Linked DNA regions of Sus scrofa. The protein of the gene in region 1 interacts with the protein of each later gene in a pairwise test. Links are inferred from orthologs where the notes say so. Each region holds a gene or a part of one and is shown in the gene's direction. Other genes may lie near its edges.

Region 1 (4,534 bases):
TGATAATGTTGCACTTTACTCTCAGACTCGCTAATTACTGGCCATATGGCCCTTAGCACACCTACAGTTAATTCTGTTACTGCCTCAATTATTGTACCGTGTCACAATTTGGGAAGAAGTTGAAAATGCCCTTTATTCTCCCTAATATTCTTAATTAATTCCATCGTACCAGAATTCGAGAGAAATAAGTAAGTTGGGCAAGGTTAAGTAAAACATGAAAGTCAGGAATTGAGGGGCTTTTCAAGAAAAACCCATTTAAGCCATATTTTAAATGAAGCTAAAGCTAAAACAAGTAAATCCTGACTATCATTAGTGTTCTTTTTAAGGATCAAGGCCACAGCGTTCTTTCAGCACCATAAGATTCTCTACCAACACAGGCACCCAGTTATACTGATCTTGTCCATCCTTTTCTGTAGTTCTCAGGAAGTCTCCACCCACTTGGTTAGCAATCATTTGATTCAAAATTGCAAGGAGCAGCTTTCTGCTCAAAGGGGTGAAACTTTATTATCCACATGCAGGAAAGAAAATATCTCCAAGATTCCTCTAAAAGTACATGTAAGCTGCCTCCACGCAGTATTCAAAGAATCCAGACTTCCTTTTATGTTACATGCCCTTATCACATAGAGATTTATACTATCACATATTCTCATTGCTACATCATGGTGTAATTAATTCTATGCCTTTCGATTGATGCTTTTGTTTCCTTTCCAAACATTTTGTAATCTCCTCAAAAATAGCATGAATGTCTCCTACTTCTTCTAACTCCATCCGCAGCATCCTAGGCAGTGGTCCATCAAATATGAAGTCAACTTGTTATTTTACAAAAGTTTCTGTCAAATGCATGACTTATTTTCCAACCATTTTAATGAATGTTGCTAGCTCCCTGCTGTATATTTTGTCACCACTTTGTATTTTATTTTCTTTGTGGACTTTATGGTATGCTGGTACATGTTTAGCAATTAGCTTTCCAGAGGGGGGAAAAAAAAAGAAAATTTCCATACGTAGTATTTGCCAATACCCTTGGTGTAAATACTGCTATCCTGGCCAATCTAAACCTACCAGGGTGATGCCACTAAAAGTGACGTTGGGGCAAGAGGCACATAACTGGGTCGAGCCTAACAGTGTAAACAGCTTCAGCATGTCTGTGGTTCTTACCACTACCTAAGGTTCTCCGATTTATCGTTGTGTTTTATCTGTCTCCCTTCATAAAAAACTAAGCTCCATATGTAAAGGTGCCCTCTCCATGTTTTCCACTGAACCTAGAGCAGTGTCTAGCATATAGCAGGTTCACCATGAACATTTGTTGGATAAAAGTATAATTATAGACTCAAAGATGGATATATTAAAAATGTTCTGAGATGCAATAGTAATTAAAAGGTTTTTAAAAACCAGTAAAGTTTGTGGGGTCTAAAATTTTGGAAATACTTCCTGAGTAGATATGAGAAAGAGATGAATCCGGTAACACTTTTAAAAATCATTTTATCTTGCCTCCCTTGTGTCTATGAGGCTTTCCCAATGGTGTAAGTATGAGGGGATGTGTAAGGAAAAAGAAGAAAATTGTAAGGTTTGAATTTAAATTTTATTACAAAAGATCAATCATAACAGAAAAATGTTTATTTCAAAATGAAACCAAAACATCCTTTTATATTATATGAGTTAAATGGGCATAAATAAAGCATACTAGTGCACTTATATGTGCCATGGCCTATGGCAGAACCAGAGCAAACGTTAATTATTATGCTTATTTTTTGAAGATAATTGGTAATGTAAAATAATGCAAAAAGACCCTACAAGCGAAGATTAATTATTCATATATCAGATTATCTGTCTCAAAGTTTGACAAAATTTCTTTTGAAAGAAATGAAAAATAATTGAAATCGACATTTTATATTTGTATTTCATCTTCAGTTCTCTCACATCCAACTCTGAATCAGTAAGTCATTTCTTTCTGATATTGGTAATTTTTAATGTAGATTCCACAACACAGTTTTTTTTTCTTAGCCTGGATTGTCTTTGGCATATTCCATTGTATGATGAGCACAAAACAGTTCTTGAAGGATTCATTACATTTCTGTTAATTACATTATCTTTCATAACCTGACTCTCAATGGCCCTCTTTAGTCTTCCTTTTCTTATGCTCCCAATTGAACTGCCTGCTTTGCCCTTAAGACACACGTGTCTGTTCTCCCACCCCCGCTTTACTCTCCTGCTTCTCAGAATGCCCTTTTCCCTTGTCTCTGTCTTTTGTAAACCAGATATTATTCTAGACTCACTTCAGTCCTCAATTTTCCATTCTTTGCACAGCACTTAGTCACTAATTGATATTTTTCTTGTTTGCTTCTTATGGATTTCTCTCCCGTGAGAATACACACCAAGTGAGAGCAGGGGCATTTCTTGGTCACTGCAATATCCCAGTGCCTAGAACAGCATCTGGGATAGAGTTACGTACAGTATTTGTTGAATGAACAGACAAATGTTATCAAGACAAATGTTATCAAGTCTAAGATTCAGACATTTTACCATGAACAAAATTGCCACTCAGTTTTTTAAAAATCTAAGGATAAAATAAATATAGTAAGGTGCTCTGTGATGATTCAAAAAACCCGCAAACATTTAGATTCCACAATATAGGTTGGCACTTCATTTTAATCCAGTGCTGTTTTGACAAAACTGTGAGAATTAAGGGAGAGAATATGGTATCTTAAATTAGTCAAAAATAATTTCTAACACCCAAGGCTGAAAGAATTCCAGTTTGAAGGTGCTCTTTTCCTCATATGAAACTGTGCTTATTATACTCCATTTATAATCTAACTAAACACATTTTCTTGGTATGCTAATGCTTTATGCAAACCTTCTCTTGATTTTGTCATATAATTCACAAGGATTCAATTAAGTGAAACAGACCTTAACGTAACTTTGAATGAATTTTTTAACAAGAAAAGATTTTATATTCAAAGTATGTAGTCATTTTAATATTAACCTGTATTTATATAGAATGGAACCAGCATCATAGTTCTTTTTTCTTTGACCTAAATTTCCTCCATGCATTTTTCTCTTTGAGTTTATCTCAAGCGTAAAAGGATAGCTAACTAGCTAGCTAGATAACTAGCTAGCTCGCTAGATATAGATATAGTATACATATATGGAACTCTGAAAGATTAGTATGTTTCTCAGTGCAAAATACAGGAGCTTTCGAATACAGGTGCTACTCTTTTTAAGCAAGTCATTGAACCTCTAAGACTCAGTTTACTGAATCTCTAAAATGGAGTGACAATACCTACTTTTCTGGGCTGAGAAGGAAAGAAAAATCAACCTGGCACATGTTAAGTGCTCAATAAGTATTTATTGAATGAATTTGATTGACTCATTCATGAATTTGATAAAGACTCATTGAAGTAAATTACTATATATCATTTAATGAAAAATTGCATTGATTGTATAACCAGGGTGTTTTAACAATTCCCTGATTAATACACAATCAGCAAAACAACATACATATGAATAGATCAAGTATATTGATCTTGATGAAACACTGTGCTTGGTACCAGAGTGGTCCAGGCGCTTATTCAAGAGATCTAAGTATGGTAACATCTACTAAAGCAACGGAAGTGATTAAGGACCTTTTGTTGTGTTTCTACACGTCTCAAAAATTCACAAACATTTTAGAGAGATAGTAGTTATGCATACTTTATTAAAAAACAAAATCTAACAGATAATAAATTATTATTCATTTTCTACACCTGTGCAGACATAAGCTAAAGGCACTGAACTTACCACTACTAGAAATAATAACTGATGAATATATGGTGATTTGTGCTTTCTCTTACATTTTCTTTCAAACCTTCCAAAAACCCTACAGAGTCAACACAGAGAGAGAATGGTAGAATAAATTTTCAATTAGGGAGCTCAAACCATAAGTCCAGAAACAGGCTATGAAATGTTTGGTGCTGGGGATACATCAAGAAACAAAAAGACGAAAAGGCTACCTTCGTGGACTTCACAATCTAGGATTTATGTTAAAAATATGGCTTTTAGATTTATGAATCAAGCCACTCAAATACATATTCATAATAGAATATGTTAAGAACTACGTTAATGGCCAAGGGATTTGTATGTTCTTTTCATCCTCTGTTATTGCATGAGGTTTGATATTTTGTGCAAAACCTTGGAATATATTCTATTGTTATTGTGCACAATTACACTTCTTTTTGTGGTTTGGTTTTGGGGATGTGAATAATGATAATCAACCCAAACTGTTGCTTCTTCCTTTCTCCCACAGGACTTAACTTTCAGCGGTGCTTAGAGGACTTACTGCTCCCATTCTTGCTCAGAGCTTGCTCATATTCTCACAGCTTGCTCATTATTTGTCTCCCAACTTGTACTGAGCATTATCTAGAAAAAGGGTCATGTCTCATTAATCTTTGCATGGCCAGCACCTTGCAGCGTGCTTGCCATAGAGTTCGGGTGGAATGTATGTTTGCTGTACGAATCCATTTGTACACACTCTCCTGTTTTCGAAGCACATACATGTGCA
Region 2 (4,594 bases), on another chromosome or scaffold:
GCTTAACCTCTTAGAGTCTGTGATTCCTCCTCTGTAAAGAGGAAATGGGAGACTCCAGGCTAGGAGTCTTCATCTTTCTCCCAGGTGGCTCTCTGTGCCTGCCCCAGGCTGGATGGGCTCCTGGCCTCAAAAATCTAATGATGGTTCTGCCCCTTTTCATGTGGTGGTCATGACACATCCCACGGACCTGACAGAGAGATAGCTGGGTCCCTGCCTCTGAGGTCGGGTTCACTTTCCCCCTCCCTCTCTCTTCCCCCAGAGACCTCTGCCTTGGGTTCTGCAGAGAACGAAGCTAGCAGGGTCTTTCCACCCTTACCCACAAGTCAGTATGGCCACGGTCATTGTGGAGAAAGGGAGAGGGTGTGGGAATATTCCTCTTGCAGGGAGACCCCAACTCTGTTACTAGTAATGTGGAGGGACCCTTTTCCTGAGGGTTGGAGATACACAGGTAATGGCATGGGCTGAGCGTTTAGACAGCTTGTCCCTGGACTCCAGGCCTGCAGCCCTGCCCTCTCTTCCCCCTGTACCTAGTTCCCTTCTTTCTTTGAATCAAGGCTAGGTCATGGGGTTTTCAGGTGGAGCTGTCCCTTTAAATCTCTGGGTTAATGTCCTAGTGTGTAATCCTGCCTGCTGCCATGGCAACCAGGGGGTGTGCTGTGCCCTGGTGCCACTCCTCAGGGAATAGTTGTCTGGTGGAGGCAGCAGTGCCTAGTGGTGCCCTCATGGGTACAGGGTCTCAGAGGAATGAATGGTGGCTCTGGGTTGGGGTAACTGTCAAGTGCCCCCCAGTGCCTACCCTAGTCCCTGCTTCCTCAATGGTCTCTCACTCACCTTTTCCCTTCCCTAATTCTGCCTTGTCCACAGGCATCACCCTCATATCCAAGGGGGAGTGCTAACGGGAGATGGGGGAGGGTGAAACCGCTGCTGAGATGTGGGGTTAGAAATCTTGGGGTGCCCTTCTGTGCCCATAGTGATGCCACCCCTTTCCCTCCCCCACTCCCTCACAAATGGCAGCTGGGAGAGGCATTTGGGCTTTGAGGTATTTGCCCCACGCCAAAGTGGTGCCACTGCCTCCTGGCGCAGGACCGAGAATCATTCTTGGGGTCTTCCTTTAATCCTGAGGGAGTCATAGTAGAGGAAACTGGGCCTGAAGAGGGGACAGAGAGGTTGGAGGGCACGAAGAGGAGGCGGCGGCAAGGGGTGTAATACAGGAGGGATTTCCAGAAGCGGGGGGCAGGAACAAGATGGGGCCAAATCCCCACCCACCTTGGGTTCCCCGCAGCTGGGCTGGTTGGGGAGAGTCCCTGAGCACCGCCCTAGTCTTGAAGGGGCTGCACGCTTAACCCTCTCCGCTTTCGAATCTTTCCTCAGCCGCCTCCTCCCCACCCCCACTAGAAGGTACTAAAACAGGGGGATCGGGTCACCCGTGGGCTGAGGACTCACTCTCCCACCGCCCCCTCCCAGAGCTTTTACTGCCCCCTCTGGGGTCTGCTTCACTTGGGGCATTGGCCAATCAGAAAGGCGGTCAGGGCGGCTGAGCCTTGCTATTGGCTAGCCCTGCAGGGGGCGCTTCCCGAGTCCCGCCTCCTCCAGCGCTGCCCTCGGACTGGGAAGGCGGCGGCGGTGTGCAGGCCACTCTGGGAGCCTCGGACCGGGCGAGGGGCAGCCATGGCGGGCAGCCCAGGCAGCGGGGCCTCCCTGGAGGGTATATCCCTGGGCTCCTCTGAGGAAGCTGAGCTCCAGAGGGAAGGTAGGGCGGAAAGGCGGGGCGGTGAGGCTGGGGCATCTAGGGTGCCCTAGGAGCGGGCTCCCGGGATCCTAAGGTTTTGGGGGCGCCGAGGCCTGGGCTGAGGGCGCCAACTCCCCTGGCTCAGTCCTCCCTGTGGCTGGCAGGCTGGGAAATCCGGTTATGAGGTTGTCTGGGGACCGTCCCAGGATATCTGGGCAGAGAGGGAAGGGTCCCTGCTCTGGCCTTTTTCTGAGTCTCTTATGGGCCTTGAAGGTCTCTGACCAAGGCCAAGCCCAGGTCTGAGCAGCAGGGGTCTGGAGGGCAGACGTGGATGCTGTTTCTGGAGAAGGTGGGGAGGATGAGGGGGAAGAGGGTGGGAGAGCAGGAGCCCTTGAACCCTGGCTGCCAGCTCTGGTTTCAGTGCCTCCCCCCATCCACAGTTCCTTCCTGGAGGAGAGGGTACTGCTGAGAGCAGTGAGAGGTGCCAGGGACGGTACCCACCCCTCCTCCTCCCCGGCTTGGGTGCTTTTATACAGATGTAGGCGTGGGTGGCAGGGTGGCAGAGTAATGATACCCCCTGCCCATCTCTCCCCCAGCTGGGCACACTGCTTCTCCCTTCCTTCCCCCAGAACCTGCCACAGCCAGGTGGGGGAAGGAAGACACCCCCCATCCCCGCTGGTGGTGGAAGGAAGACACCCCCCACCTTAGGTCTCAGCAGTGGCCGCTTCAGGTGTTCTCACGCCCTTGTCTGATCCCAGGCTGAGGGTTCACCGATCCGTGGGATGACTTGGTTCAGCTTCTGCCCCTGGGTGCCCTCAGCCATCCTAGGCCCCAGGGTGCCCATTTCCCCAGCTTCTACCAGTGTTCTGGGCCTCAGCTTTGGCTCCCTATGATCTAGACTAATTTCTTTCTCTTCTTTCTTTCTTTCTTTCTTTTTTTCTTTTCTTCCTTCCTTCCTTCCTCTCTCTCTCTTTTTCTTTCTTTCTTTTTCATTTTTGGCTGCCCAGTGGCATAAGGAGTTCCTGGGCCAGAGATCAGATCTGAGTGGCAGTCATGACCTGAGCTACAGCTGAGGCAACACCCGATCCTTAACCCTCTGTGCCGGGCTGGGGATCACATCCCACCATCTCCCACGACACCACCAATCTTGTTGCACCATAGCAGGAGCTCCTGTACTAATTTCTTGACAGTTGTCTGTCAGAGCTGAAGGGCCTGTAGATGTATCCAGTCCAATACACCCATTTTACAGGAAGGGAAGACTGAGATCTGTGAGAGGCAGTGACTTGTGCAAAATCACACTGAATTAGTGGCACAGCTGGTACGGGATGCTGTGTAGGCTCTGACCTCCTGCATGGCTGTCTGCTTGACTCCAGGCGGGCACTCAGGGACATGCTCTAAGCCATCGTCTCTCATCCCTGAACCTGCCCGTGTGGGTGGCTGAGTCCTGGGGCTTCAGCCCATCCAGAGGTTGGATGCGGAGTCTGGTTCTCTGGTTTAGGGCAGAACCTGGAACCTGACCCTGCTTCCCTTTCTCCCCTCCCCCTACCTCAGTGTCCACTTCCCGCTGCCTAGGGCCTCCCTCCTGCCCAGGCTGGCATGATCTAGGGCCTAGAGAACAGGCCAAGGAAATTGCCCCTCCCCTCTTAGGGCCCCTGCCCCAGACATTCAAGGTCCCGATGTGCTGGGCCAGGAATGGTTTGCTGCCAGGAGGGGTGTCTTCTGTGGGATGTGCAGTAGGATGCAGGGTCGCTATAGGGTGTGTTTGGGTCTCTGTGCTCAGCTGGCACCTGTGTGTCTCACAGGCTGCTCTTTCCCCCCAGCCATGCAGCAAGTCCTGGACAACCTGGGATCCCTCCCCAATGCCACGGGGGCTGCTGAACTGGATCTGATCTTCCTTCGAGGCATTATGGAAAGTCCCATAGTGAGATCCTTGGCCAAGGTACAGTGCTGTGAGGGATTCAGGCACAAGGGCACGGTGCCTGGGGAGGCATGGGGGACAGGGGCCCTGGGGCTGGGACATGTGGCACCAGAGACCCCCAGAGAGGGTATGCATGAACATCCACGCCCAGATGATGAATCTGAGCCAGGTAGGGAGGCAGGCTGCCCCCATGCCTGACAGATGAGTGTGTGGATGGGCCCGTGTGGATGCGTGTGGTGACTGCCAGCTTGTAGAGGGCATGACTGGTTAGGGGTGAACATGCCTGTGCTTTGGAATCTCCGGACTTCATCCTGCTCATCTTTCTGCCTTTGGGCATTTTGTGCAGACCTCTTTCTAAGGTCACCTGCCAAATGTCAGGTGGAGGAGAGACTCACTAGAGGAGAAAGTTATAAAACAATCTGATGATGGCGGTAATGTGGGCAGAGGCACTAGGTGTTTCGGGAGCAGAAAGGGCAGATGGCTGACCAGCCCATGGGGCGGCAGGGAAGACTTCCTGGAGGAAGGACCACTTGAGCTGAGTCTTGAAGAATGAGGAGGGGGAGGGCATTCTAGGCCACAGGAAGAGCTTAAGCAGAAACAGAGGTGAGAAAGAGCCCGAAGGGTACAGGAGCCACACATGCAGTGTGAGGCTGGAGCTGCAGGTGCAAAAGAGGGAGTATGAGCTGCTGAGAAGCTGGCAGGGGGCAGAGGGCCCTGGAGGCTGTGCCTGGGCTTGCGCATCATCCAATAGACAACCTGGAGCCTCCTGTGGGCTTTCCGCAGGGCTGTGATGACACACGCGGGTGTTTTAGGCACCCTCTGGCAGCTGCATGGGGGGGTGTCTGGAGGGTCACAGCTGGAGCTGGAGAGACTGAGTCCCGGAGGGCCCGGCATGAGACCCGCGGTAACGGCGCGAGGGAAGGGAGGACAGAGGAAATGGTTAGGAG
Region 3 (4,368 bases), on another chromosome or scaffold:
GGTACCTGCAGGGATAGGGGAGTTGGCAGGGCTGGTCTCAGCTGTTAAGTCAGGAGGATTACATGTTATAATTTGAGGGACAGTCTCCCCATCTCTCCCTCCCTGACACTTTCTCAGTGAAACGCATCCTATTTTCAGGGAGTGGGGGTGGAGTAGGAGGTTAGTACATTGCTTCCGCAAGACCCTTGAGGAAACAAAGGTGGACTCATAAGGGATCAGGAACATACCAGAAATGACCTTCATCCCCTCCCTTGGAGGGGCTCGGGGCACCACCTGGTAGGAGAGGGTGTGGTGAGATTGGGAATCGGAAGAAGAGGATCAAAGTTGGGAGGTGTGGGTAGGGTGCAGTGGGAATGAGCCATTGGGTATCCTGTGGGAAGTAAACGGACCTGGGAAACAAGGAGAAGGAAAAGGAAGACGTGGAGGTTTTTCCTAATTCTGAGAAGAGAAACATATTTCCCTTCTGCATCCGCCTTGCCTCACTCTTGGGCACAGGGCACAGTCAACTTCATTTCATCCAACTGGCCTGACTATGAGGGAGGGGGGCTCAGCATGGGCTCGGAGTTACTGGTATCCCTTAGTACATTCAGATGTCCTTAAATGCTTCCAATTTCCCTTCCTCAGGTTTGCTGTTCCAGGAAAGAAGGTTCTAAATTAATACTCGACAAACTCCCCCTGTGTGTGGGTTTGCAAAATTAATGATCCTAATGGAAAAGTAAATTAATCTTTGATGCTTGGTTGAGGCTAAGAGAAAATGTTTTGGGTCTTAATACACCCCTTCCATAGCATTCTCTCCCTCCCTCCCGTGCTAGCCACAATGCAGCTTGAAAACTCCATCTCTGAATCCAAAGGGCCATGTTGCTAGCATTTAGCAAATGCCTGGTTGGTGCAGGACAGTGCCACTGTGCCCAAGAGAAGCCAGGAAAGGCTGCATAGAGGAAGCCACCTGATGCGATGTTCCGCCCTTGTCACGTTTTACTTGCACTTTCTAAATTCCCGGTTTGAAAAGACTGCAGTAAACGTTTTGTAAAATGTAAACAAGGCGTTCATAGCTTCTTCAATTTCAGGAAGCGGCAGCAGCTGACACAGCAGCTTTGCCAAAAGCCCCATCACAGGTCTGAGGGTTCACAGATCTCTTGGGATTCAGGGAGAGGTTAAGGGAATCGGAAGTTCTCAGACTGCCTGGCTGTGTTTTTCTACCAGAGCCTCTGCAGCACCGCATCGCTCAGTTCCTTTCAACTGAAAAATTAAATCTGCGCTCCTGTCAAAATCTGTCATCTGCACACCCGGACACTCATCCCAGTTCACCATGCACCCCGCAGAGGCAGAGTCCAGGTGGAAAGGGTGGCGCAGCCCCACTTCCGAGGTCTGCGAAGGCCGGGTGTCTGGAGGGAGCTCAACAACTGGTGTCCCAGGAGTGTTCGGCAAAGCCGGCTCCGGGGGTGCCACGGGCGCCTCGGTGCTATGAAAAGAGCTAGTGTCCGTCCATTTCCTCGGGTGTGCATCACACTCCCTGGCTGGGCCTCCGGGAGGAAATTCACGGAGGACACAGCGCCGTAGAACCTGCTGAATACACATCAAAACCAGAGGTGCGTGTGTGAAGGGGGAGGGAGGAGATTTTCCAGAGGCTTTTTTTCTTCGAGGTCTTTTTATCCTTTGGGCCCCACGGCTGGTGGGTTCTTTGAATGTAAACTCTTGAAAGGGGCTGGGAGGAGCCTCTTTTACGCCCGGTGGAGTCTCCTGCTCCTCGGTAAATGCTGAGTGACAGCTGCAATTTCGGCCTGGAAGATCCGGTGGGGATTGGGGCTGGGGGACCCTCGCGCGCGGGCGTGCGCGGCTCGGGGCCGGACCCGGGAGCCCCGCGAGAGGCGGGCCGCGCGGTCGGGCCGGGGCGCCGTCTGCCGGCGCGGGGAGGGGGCTCCACCTGGTCGCCCCGCCGCGGCCGGAGGGGCGGGGCCGGCTTCCCCGAGGCGGTGGCGCCTCCTCGCGCCCGAGCGTGCTCCGCGGCGTCCGGCGCACGCGCGAGGCCGGGAGGGAGCGCGCCCCGGCAGCGGCGGGAGGAGGCGGAGGAGGAGGAGGAGGTGGGCGGCGGCCGGCCGGCGGCGGAGGAGGGCGGCGGAGGAGAGGCTGGCCGCGCGCGCGGTGGTGGCAGCGGCGGCGCCGGCGACCGGAGCCGGGCGGAGTGGGGCGCGAGGGAGGGGGCGGAGGGGGAGGGCGGCGCAGGGGAGCGAGAGCCGCCTTTCCAGGTCCCAACTACGAGCCGCGAGTTTGTAGATGGGGCTGCTCGGCGGCGCCTGCGGCTGAGGAAGAGCAGCGGCGGCCGGCGGACGGGAGCGGCGGCGGCGGCGGCGCGGAGGCGGCCGAGGTGCGAGCCGGTGAGTTGCCGGGGCCCCACGTCGCTCGGGTAACGGTCTCGGCGCGCGCGGGGCCGGCTGCGGGGGCGCCCTGTTGCTCACGGCTGCGGGCCACGCGGGGACCCTGGCCCGCCCCGCCCCCTCGGCACCTGGGCGCGGGCGGCGGCGGGGGCTGCTCCGCTCGGGCCGCGCGGAAGGGACGCGCTCTGCCGGGCCCCTGGCTCCCGGGCTGCGGGCGGGCGGAGCGCGGCAACGTGCCTGGCCCATGCCGCCGGCCGCCGCGCCGCGCCCGGCTCTCGCCAGCGTGCTCCCCGGCGGGGGCCGGGCTGGGGCTGGGGTCGCGCGGGGGCCCTCCGGGCGCAGGGCAGCGGCGCGGGGCGCGGACCCCCTCTGCGGCGGGAGCGGTGGGAAAGCGTGAATGGAGGGCTGCGCCGGGGGCGGCGGCGGCCGTGACGGACACCTCCGGGGTCCGTCTCGGGAGGGGGCGACGCAGCCGACCTCGGGCCGCCTCCCCAGCCCCGAGTCGTTGGGGGAGGAGGCTTTCTGCAAGTCCTGCCGCTACTTCCGAGGCACGAGACTCCAGTTGTTTGAGCAGAGTGCTTGGGGGCCGAGCACACGCGGCTCCGGAGGCGGTTGCGGCCGAGGCAGTGCTTTCCGATTCTGGGTACGCGTGTCTGGAACCCGAAAGGTGCTGGGGCTTTTTCTTTTTCTTTCTTTCTTTCTTTCTTTTTTTTTTTTGTTTTTTTGGCGGGGTGAAGGGCCAGGAAGGGAGTCGAGTCGACTGAGGGATCTTACGGTCGTTGTGATGACAGGATGTGGATGGTTGGTTGGTGGGTGTTTTTTGCAGAAGGATTTTTTTTTTTTTTTAACACTTTCTTGGGAGTTTCGTCTCCGTCTCCGCAGCTCCTGGGATTACAGCGCGTGATTCCATCCGTTCAACTTCCATCAGCTGGGGCATGTAAGCAGGGTTGGGGGCAGGCGAGGGACGGAGTTGAAGGCTGGTGGGGAATCTCAGGAAAATTCTCCGCCTGACTTACAAACAGCTGGTTACATTTTACTCCTTTTCTATGCCTTTGGGGTGTTGGAATTTGACTTTATGCCTCCTGAATTGGCCTCCTTGTAATACGCCTTGGAACATTGGAGGTGCGTTAAACTGCTTTTCAATTGGAGTAGGATTTAGCAGCCATGTCTTCCCGAGAAATCTTTGAAATGGTCGTTCAGAAACTTATGCAGGTCGAATATTTCAGGCGAGGCAACACTCTGTTACCAATGCGGAGATAGTTGCGGTACATGTGTGAAACAACGGATCTCACGCTATTACTGCTTATTTTAGGCATCTGCTGTGCAATTATGATAAGGTATCAGGCCTGATTATAGTCATGTCTTCTGAGGCCTGATTACAGCAAACAACTTTCATGGGTTGTGTCATCCTGAGGTCATCTGGTATCTGAGATCTGTCATATATTTAAATGTATGTTTAAATACATGTTTGCACAATGTGTTACTTTTTAAGGTCTGTGCTGCTTTTAGTTTAGACTAGGGTTACATAATATACAAGTGGTAACACTTTTAATAGCCCTGGTTTTGTCCTGTAGAGATTGCATGCTAAATATCTTTATGAAAAAACATGTGGGGGTCTGTGTGTGTCCTTTTCTGATTGATGCCACTGGGTTCCTTTTCCATTTGGAATTTCAAAATGACTCTCTTCTTTATATATTCAAGATTAAATGAGCACTGGAAAAAATAGGGCCTTCAGCAAGGCTGATAGTTCTGTGGAAGACAGAATCATTTTTTGTTCTCTGGCCAACTGTTGGATTTTTTTTTAAACGAATCATATTTTTCTTAAACATTCGTGGGAGCAGTTTGCATTTTTCCTGAGTCTCATTTCAGGCTGAAATTGTTCCAGAAGACTACACAGCCTGTGTCTCTCTGCCTCCCCCCTCCCATTTTTAGCTTGGGATAACCAAGAAGTCATAATTACAGGACTCTGTGTGTTACCTGTACTGTTTTTAAC
Region 4 (4,478 bases), on another chromosome or scaffold:
GTTCCCATCATGGCTCAGCGGTAACAAAACCGACTAGTATCCATGAAGATTTGGGTTTGATCCCTGGCCTTCCTCAGTGGGTTAACGATCCTGTGTGGCCATGAGCTGTGTTGTAGATCACGGACATGCAGCTATAGCTCTGATTTGACTAATAGCCTGGGAACTTCCATATGCCATGGGTGTGGACCTTAAAAAAAAGAAAAAAGAGGGAGTTCCCGTCGTGGTGCAGTGGTTAACGAATCCGACTAGGAACCATGAGGTTGGGAGTTCGATCCCTGCCCTTGCTCTGTGGGTTAAGGATCTGGCGTTGCCGTGAGCTGTGGTGTAGGCTTGTAGATGCGGCTCGGATCCAGTGTTGTGGGCTCTGGTGTAGGCCGGCGGCTACAGCTCCGATTCGACCCCTAGCCTGGGAATCTCCATATGTGGCGGGAGCGGCCCAAGAAATGGCAAAAAGACAAAAAAAAAAAAAAAAAAAAAAAAAGAAAGAAAAAAATTCTTCTAAAAAATGCTCTGGAAAAATGCGGAAAAAAAAAAAAACACAAAACGCTGTCTTTTTTCCTCAATGGCATTTCTTTGAAAAGCTAAATCAGCGGTTCTCAACTGGAAGTGAGTTTGTCCTTCAAGGGAATCTTTGACAAAGGCTAGAGACATTTTTGATGGTCACTAGGGGCTAGTGGTGCTATTGGTACCTGATGGGTAGAGACCAGCGATGCTGCTAAGCATCCTAAATTGCACAGGTCAGTCTCCACAACAAAGAATTACTTGGTCCAAATGTCAATAGCACCGAGGGTGGAAACCCTGAGGTAGAGGGGGAAAAAACTCATTGCGGAGCTAAAGGAAGCTTCTGGAATTACTTATTTTATGCATTTAAGAACTTAGAAAGGAAATGGGCCTCTCTTTACACACCCATAAAGCACACACACTAACATTTTTTTTCTTTCCTCCTCATTGGATGTGGGTACCAGTTTCTAGGGAATCCTGGAGACTATTTGGATTTTCTTACACTGGATGTGGGTTGACCCAGGTACCCGCGTTTTGTGAAAACAGCTGTGGCGCTTGGCACCCTTCCTGCCTGGCTTTCAGAACTCGGTCCGAGCTGCTAGCTTTGTGGAGTCTTCCGTGGTGGCAGAGAATTCTTTCGTGAGACCCCACACATACCCGTGTTCACGTAAGCCATGGTTCTACTCTTTAAACAAATGTTAGATCGTGGGACATGCTTCACAGGACATGAGGAGTCGCCTCAAGGGAATTAGTTATCCGTCAGGAGCCGACGGACATTTAGGGAGAGAGAAAAGGTCTGTGGAGCGTTAGTTCACTCCCATTGCGTCTTAGGGAAACCTCACGTCCTCGCATAACCTGGCCCGCGGGCTCAAACCCAAAGTGGTTCCCTAGCGCCTGAGAGCCCGAAGCACTTCGCGTTTTCCACTGAGAGGCGCGCGAGTGCGCGCGCGACCGGCCGCTCAGAGCTACGGAGCGGGCCAATAAGCGGGCCGTCTCTCCGCGCCGGCTCGGGATTGGGCAAACCGCGCCAGCCTCCCTGCCTGACCGCAGGCGGGCGTGCCGGGGAGCCACTGGGATAGGCGCGCCCGCTGCGCCAGAGTCCCGGGGGCGCGTGCGCGGTCTCGCGGCTGCCGCGGGGGCTGGTCTCGCGCGGTCTCGAGGTGGAGTCGCTGGAGGCCGCGGCAGCGACGGCGGCGACTGGCGGTGGGGCGGGGGCGGGGACTAAGGATTGTGAGGTGGGGAAACGCGACTTTCTGGATTCTTTATCCGGTATTTTAAGTGCAGCTGGGGAGCTGTCGTTTCTGCAGCGTTGAGGAGCGGCTGGGGCGGGAGGAGCGGCGGCGGCCACTGGGGCGCGGAGGTAAGTGGCGTCCGGCAGCGGTTCCGTGTTGAGGTCTTAATCAACAGGTCCCCGCGAGCGGCGGGGGAGGGGGCGGCCGGGCTCGCCCCCTCCCCCTCCTCTGGGCCCGGGCGGGACCCGGGGCTCTTCACGGGCTGCTCCAGGCAGCGCTAGCCGGCCGGCCGCAGAGGGCGTGAGCCCAACCTTTGTCCCTCGGAGGTACGCTGTCTGGCCGTGCCCGCTCCCTCTGCCTTGGCGAACGACCCACCTCGGCGGGGACTTTGCCCGCCCAGCCAGAGTTGGAGGGAGGCCCCTGCTCTCTGCGCCCCCGCCCCCGAGTTCGCGACTCCCGGGACTCCCTCCAGGCCGGGTCGGGGAAATCGGCGGGCGAAGAACATTTTCCTTTAGAAGACGGAATGTAGTCGGCGTTCCTCTGCCTGACTCAGCCCCTGGTATTCGGCTGCTGGTTGCATTCTTTAAACAAATAAACAAACAATTTCTACTTCCTTGTAACCACTTTTAAAGAAGAGCCAAATCTCGTTTATGGTTTCCGATAATTTGCTGTAAGTTTGCAAGGTGAACTTCGAAGCCCTCACTTGTTATAAGCTGCTTTTAATGGAAGGCGCTTTAAACAATCTTTGGTGCAAATTATGTAATTTCCTATTAATAATAGCTCACCTTCTCGTTAGTTGATTGACATACAGTAAGGTGTCCGGAATTTAGGTTTCGGTCGAAAGGCAGTTGGCGCTCAAATTAAAATCTGGTAGCTAGGAGGTTTTTGGAAGCAGTACATAGTGTGTGTTTTATCTCCGCACTCGTTTAGAGTTGTGAGAATTTAGATTTGGAAAGCCCTTAAGAACAAGAGTTTTGGAATTTTGATTTTAATAAGGTGAGAGGTGTCACGATTTCTGATTTTTTTTTAAAGTCTTATGTGTTAATGATAGCTTCTAATTATGTTTAGATTATACCAGAAGTTAATAAGCTATTAAATTCTGCAATAGGAACAAATGACAGGCTGGTTATTGGTGTCTTTGAAGTATGAGTATTGAGGTAATAAAATTGTTAAGTGAGCTTTTTTGGATTATAAACTAATTTTTTACTTGATCCCTGTGGACTTGGCTTATTACAAGTTTTAAAAGGCTCTTTAAACTACTGTAACAGGTGGAAGCTATTAAATTAAGAATTTTATAGATGAAATAGGCAAAAAATACAGAAAGCAATTCATCATTTTATCTTTGGTAAAACAAAATCAAGTAAATCTTACCATGTATTTGATTGACTTTTGGCCAGACAGATCTTAACTTGACAGGATGAACTCAGTAATATTAACTTGTTTTAGAATGTTAAAATGTGAAAGAATATATAATTTTTACCTGAGGGTTACCCAATCAGTAGAATGAGTTTAGGAGTTTACATGCTTTTTCTGAGTTATTATTATCTTGATTAAGAAGCGTATTACAGACGTACCAAGAAATTTGGTCTACTTTATACATCATTTGTTGAGTTGGAAGTAATTTTAGTGTTTGTATCATCTGACCTCTTCGTTTTCCAGGAAAAGGAAACAGGTTTATACACCGACTAGTTAAGTGGCAGAGTTGGAACTAAATGCTAAAATGCTTGCCTTCAGATTCTAAGTACAGTGTTCTTTTCACTATATACTGTTGTTAAATAAACCAATTAAATTACCCTTACTCATTTTCCCCCTTTCTTTTAAAAATAACCACTAACCACAATTAATTCATTTCCCTACTGAAGGGCTGTTTTCAGTTTTTCAATGTTTCAAACATTGTTTAATGAACATCCTTGTGCATGCATCCTTCAACACTTTTGTGAAGTTTTCTCCAGAATGACTTTCTGGGTCATAGGTCGATGTACATTCTCACCTTTACTAGCTGCAGCCAAATTACCCTCTAAAAAGTTGTAACAGTTTACATTCCTGCCAACAGTATATGAGTCATCCTTGTCCACACTTGCAATTGTCAGATTGGCAATATCAGATTTAATTTGTGCCAATCTGATGGGTGAGAAAGGTATTTTTATTTTCTTTCTTTCACAACAGTCTTAACTTTGTGAAATGAGGTTAACTTTTTGTTGTACAATTGTTTTGACAAATGCGCAAAGCTGTTCAATTATCCAAATCAAGACACATAACAGTTCCAGTGCCTGAAATTCCTCTGAGCTACTCTTTTTTGTAGTCACCTCTTCCCCGACCCTTGATCCCTGGAAACTAATGATTGTTGTCTTTACCAGTAGCTTGTCTTTTCTAGAATATCAGATAATGGAATCATTAGAACATTTAGCCTTTTGAGTCTGGTTTCTTTCATATAGCGTAGTACATTTGAGTGTTCATCCATGTCGTTGAGTATACCAGCAGTTCCTTCCATTTTATTGATGAATGTAGTATTCCAATGTGTGGATGTATCACAGTTTGTTTCTCCATCTACAGTTGAAAGACATTTGAGTTGTTTGTTTGGACTATGAATAAAGCTGCTATAAATCTTTGCCAACAGGTTTTCATTTTTCTTGGGTAAGCACCTACGAGTGAAATTTCTGGCTCATGTGGGAAGTGTATGTTTAACTTTATTTAAAAAACAAAACAAAAAACGTGCTAGAGGAGTTCTCATGTGGCAAAGCAGGT

Evidence for each region.
Region 2: the proteins of LIN7A (region 1) and MPP2 interact in binary tests that used the Homo sapiens proteins (3 or more experiments, as listed by UniProt). The two-hybrid records come from large-scale screens. The link is inferred for Sus scrofa from reciprocal best matches to the Homo sapiens genes LIN7A and MPP2.
Region 3: the proteins of LIN7A (region 1) and MPP6 interact in binary tests that used the Homo sapiens proteins (3 or more experiments, as listed by UniProt). The link is inferred for Sus scrofa from reciprocal best matches to the Homo sapiens genes LIN7A and PALS2.
Region 4: the proteins of LIN7A (region 1) and MPP5 interact in binary tests that used the Homo sapiens proteins (3 or more experiments, as listed by UniProt). The two-hybrid records come from large-scale screens. The link is inferred for Sus scrofa from reciprocal best matches to the Homo sapiens genes LIN7A and PALS1.

Annotation. Positions count from the first base shown.
Region 1 is NC_010447.5:100,532,059-100,536,592, forward strand, and holds the start of LIN7A (protein lin-7 homolog A), read left to right. Parts: upstream 1-1,571; 5' UTR 1,572-4,534. UniProt on the Homo sapiens protein: Plays a role in establishing and maintaining the asymmetric distribution of channels and receptors at the plasma membrane of polarized cells.
Region 2 is NC_010454.4:19,244,425-19,249,018, forward strand, and holds the start of MPP2 (MAGUK p55 subfamily member 2), read left to right. Parts: upstream 1-1,640; 5' UTR 1,641-1,668; coding exon 1,669-1,750; intron 1,751-3,549; coding exon 3,550-3,668; intron 3,669-4,594. UniProt on the Homo sapiens protein: Postsynaptic MAGUK scaffold protein that links CADM1 cell adhesion molecules to core components of the postsynaptic density. In CA1 pyramidal neurons, required for synaptic KCNN2-containing channel function and long-term potentiation expression.
Region 3 is NC_010460.4:47,708,510-47,712,877, reverse strand, and holds the start of MPP6 (MAGUK p55 subfamily member 6), read left to right. Parts: upstream 1-1,465; 5' UTR 1,466-1,589; intron 1,590-2,197; exon of another isoform or gene 2,198-2,375; intron 2,376-2,893; exon of another isoform or gene 2,894-3,042; intron 3,043-4,368.
Region 4 is NC_010449.5:90,953,922-90,958,399, forward strand, and holds the start of MPP5 (MAGUK p55 subfamily member 5), read left to right. Parts: upstream 1-1,609; 5' UTR 1,610-1,861; intron 1,862-2,111; exon of another isoform or gene 2,112-2,403; intron 2,404-4,478. UniProt on the Homo sapiens protein: Plays a role in tight junction biogenesis and in the establishment of cell polarity in epithelial cells.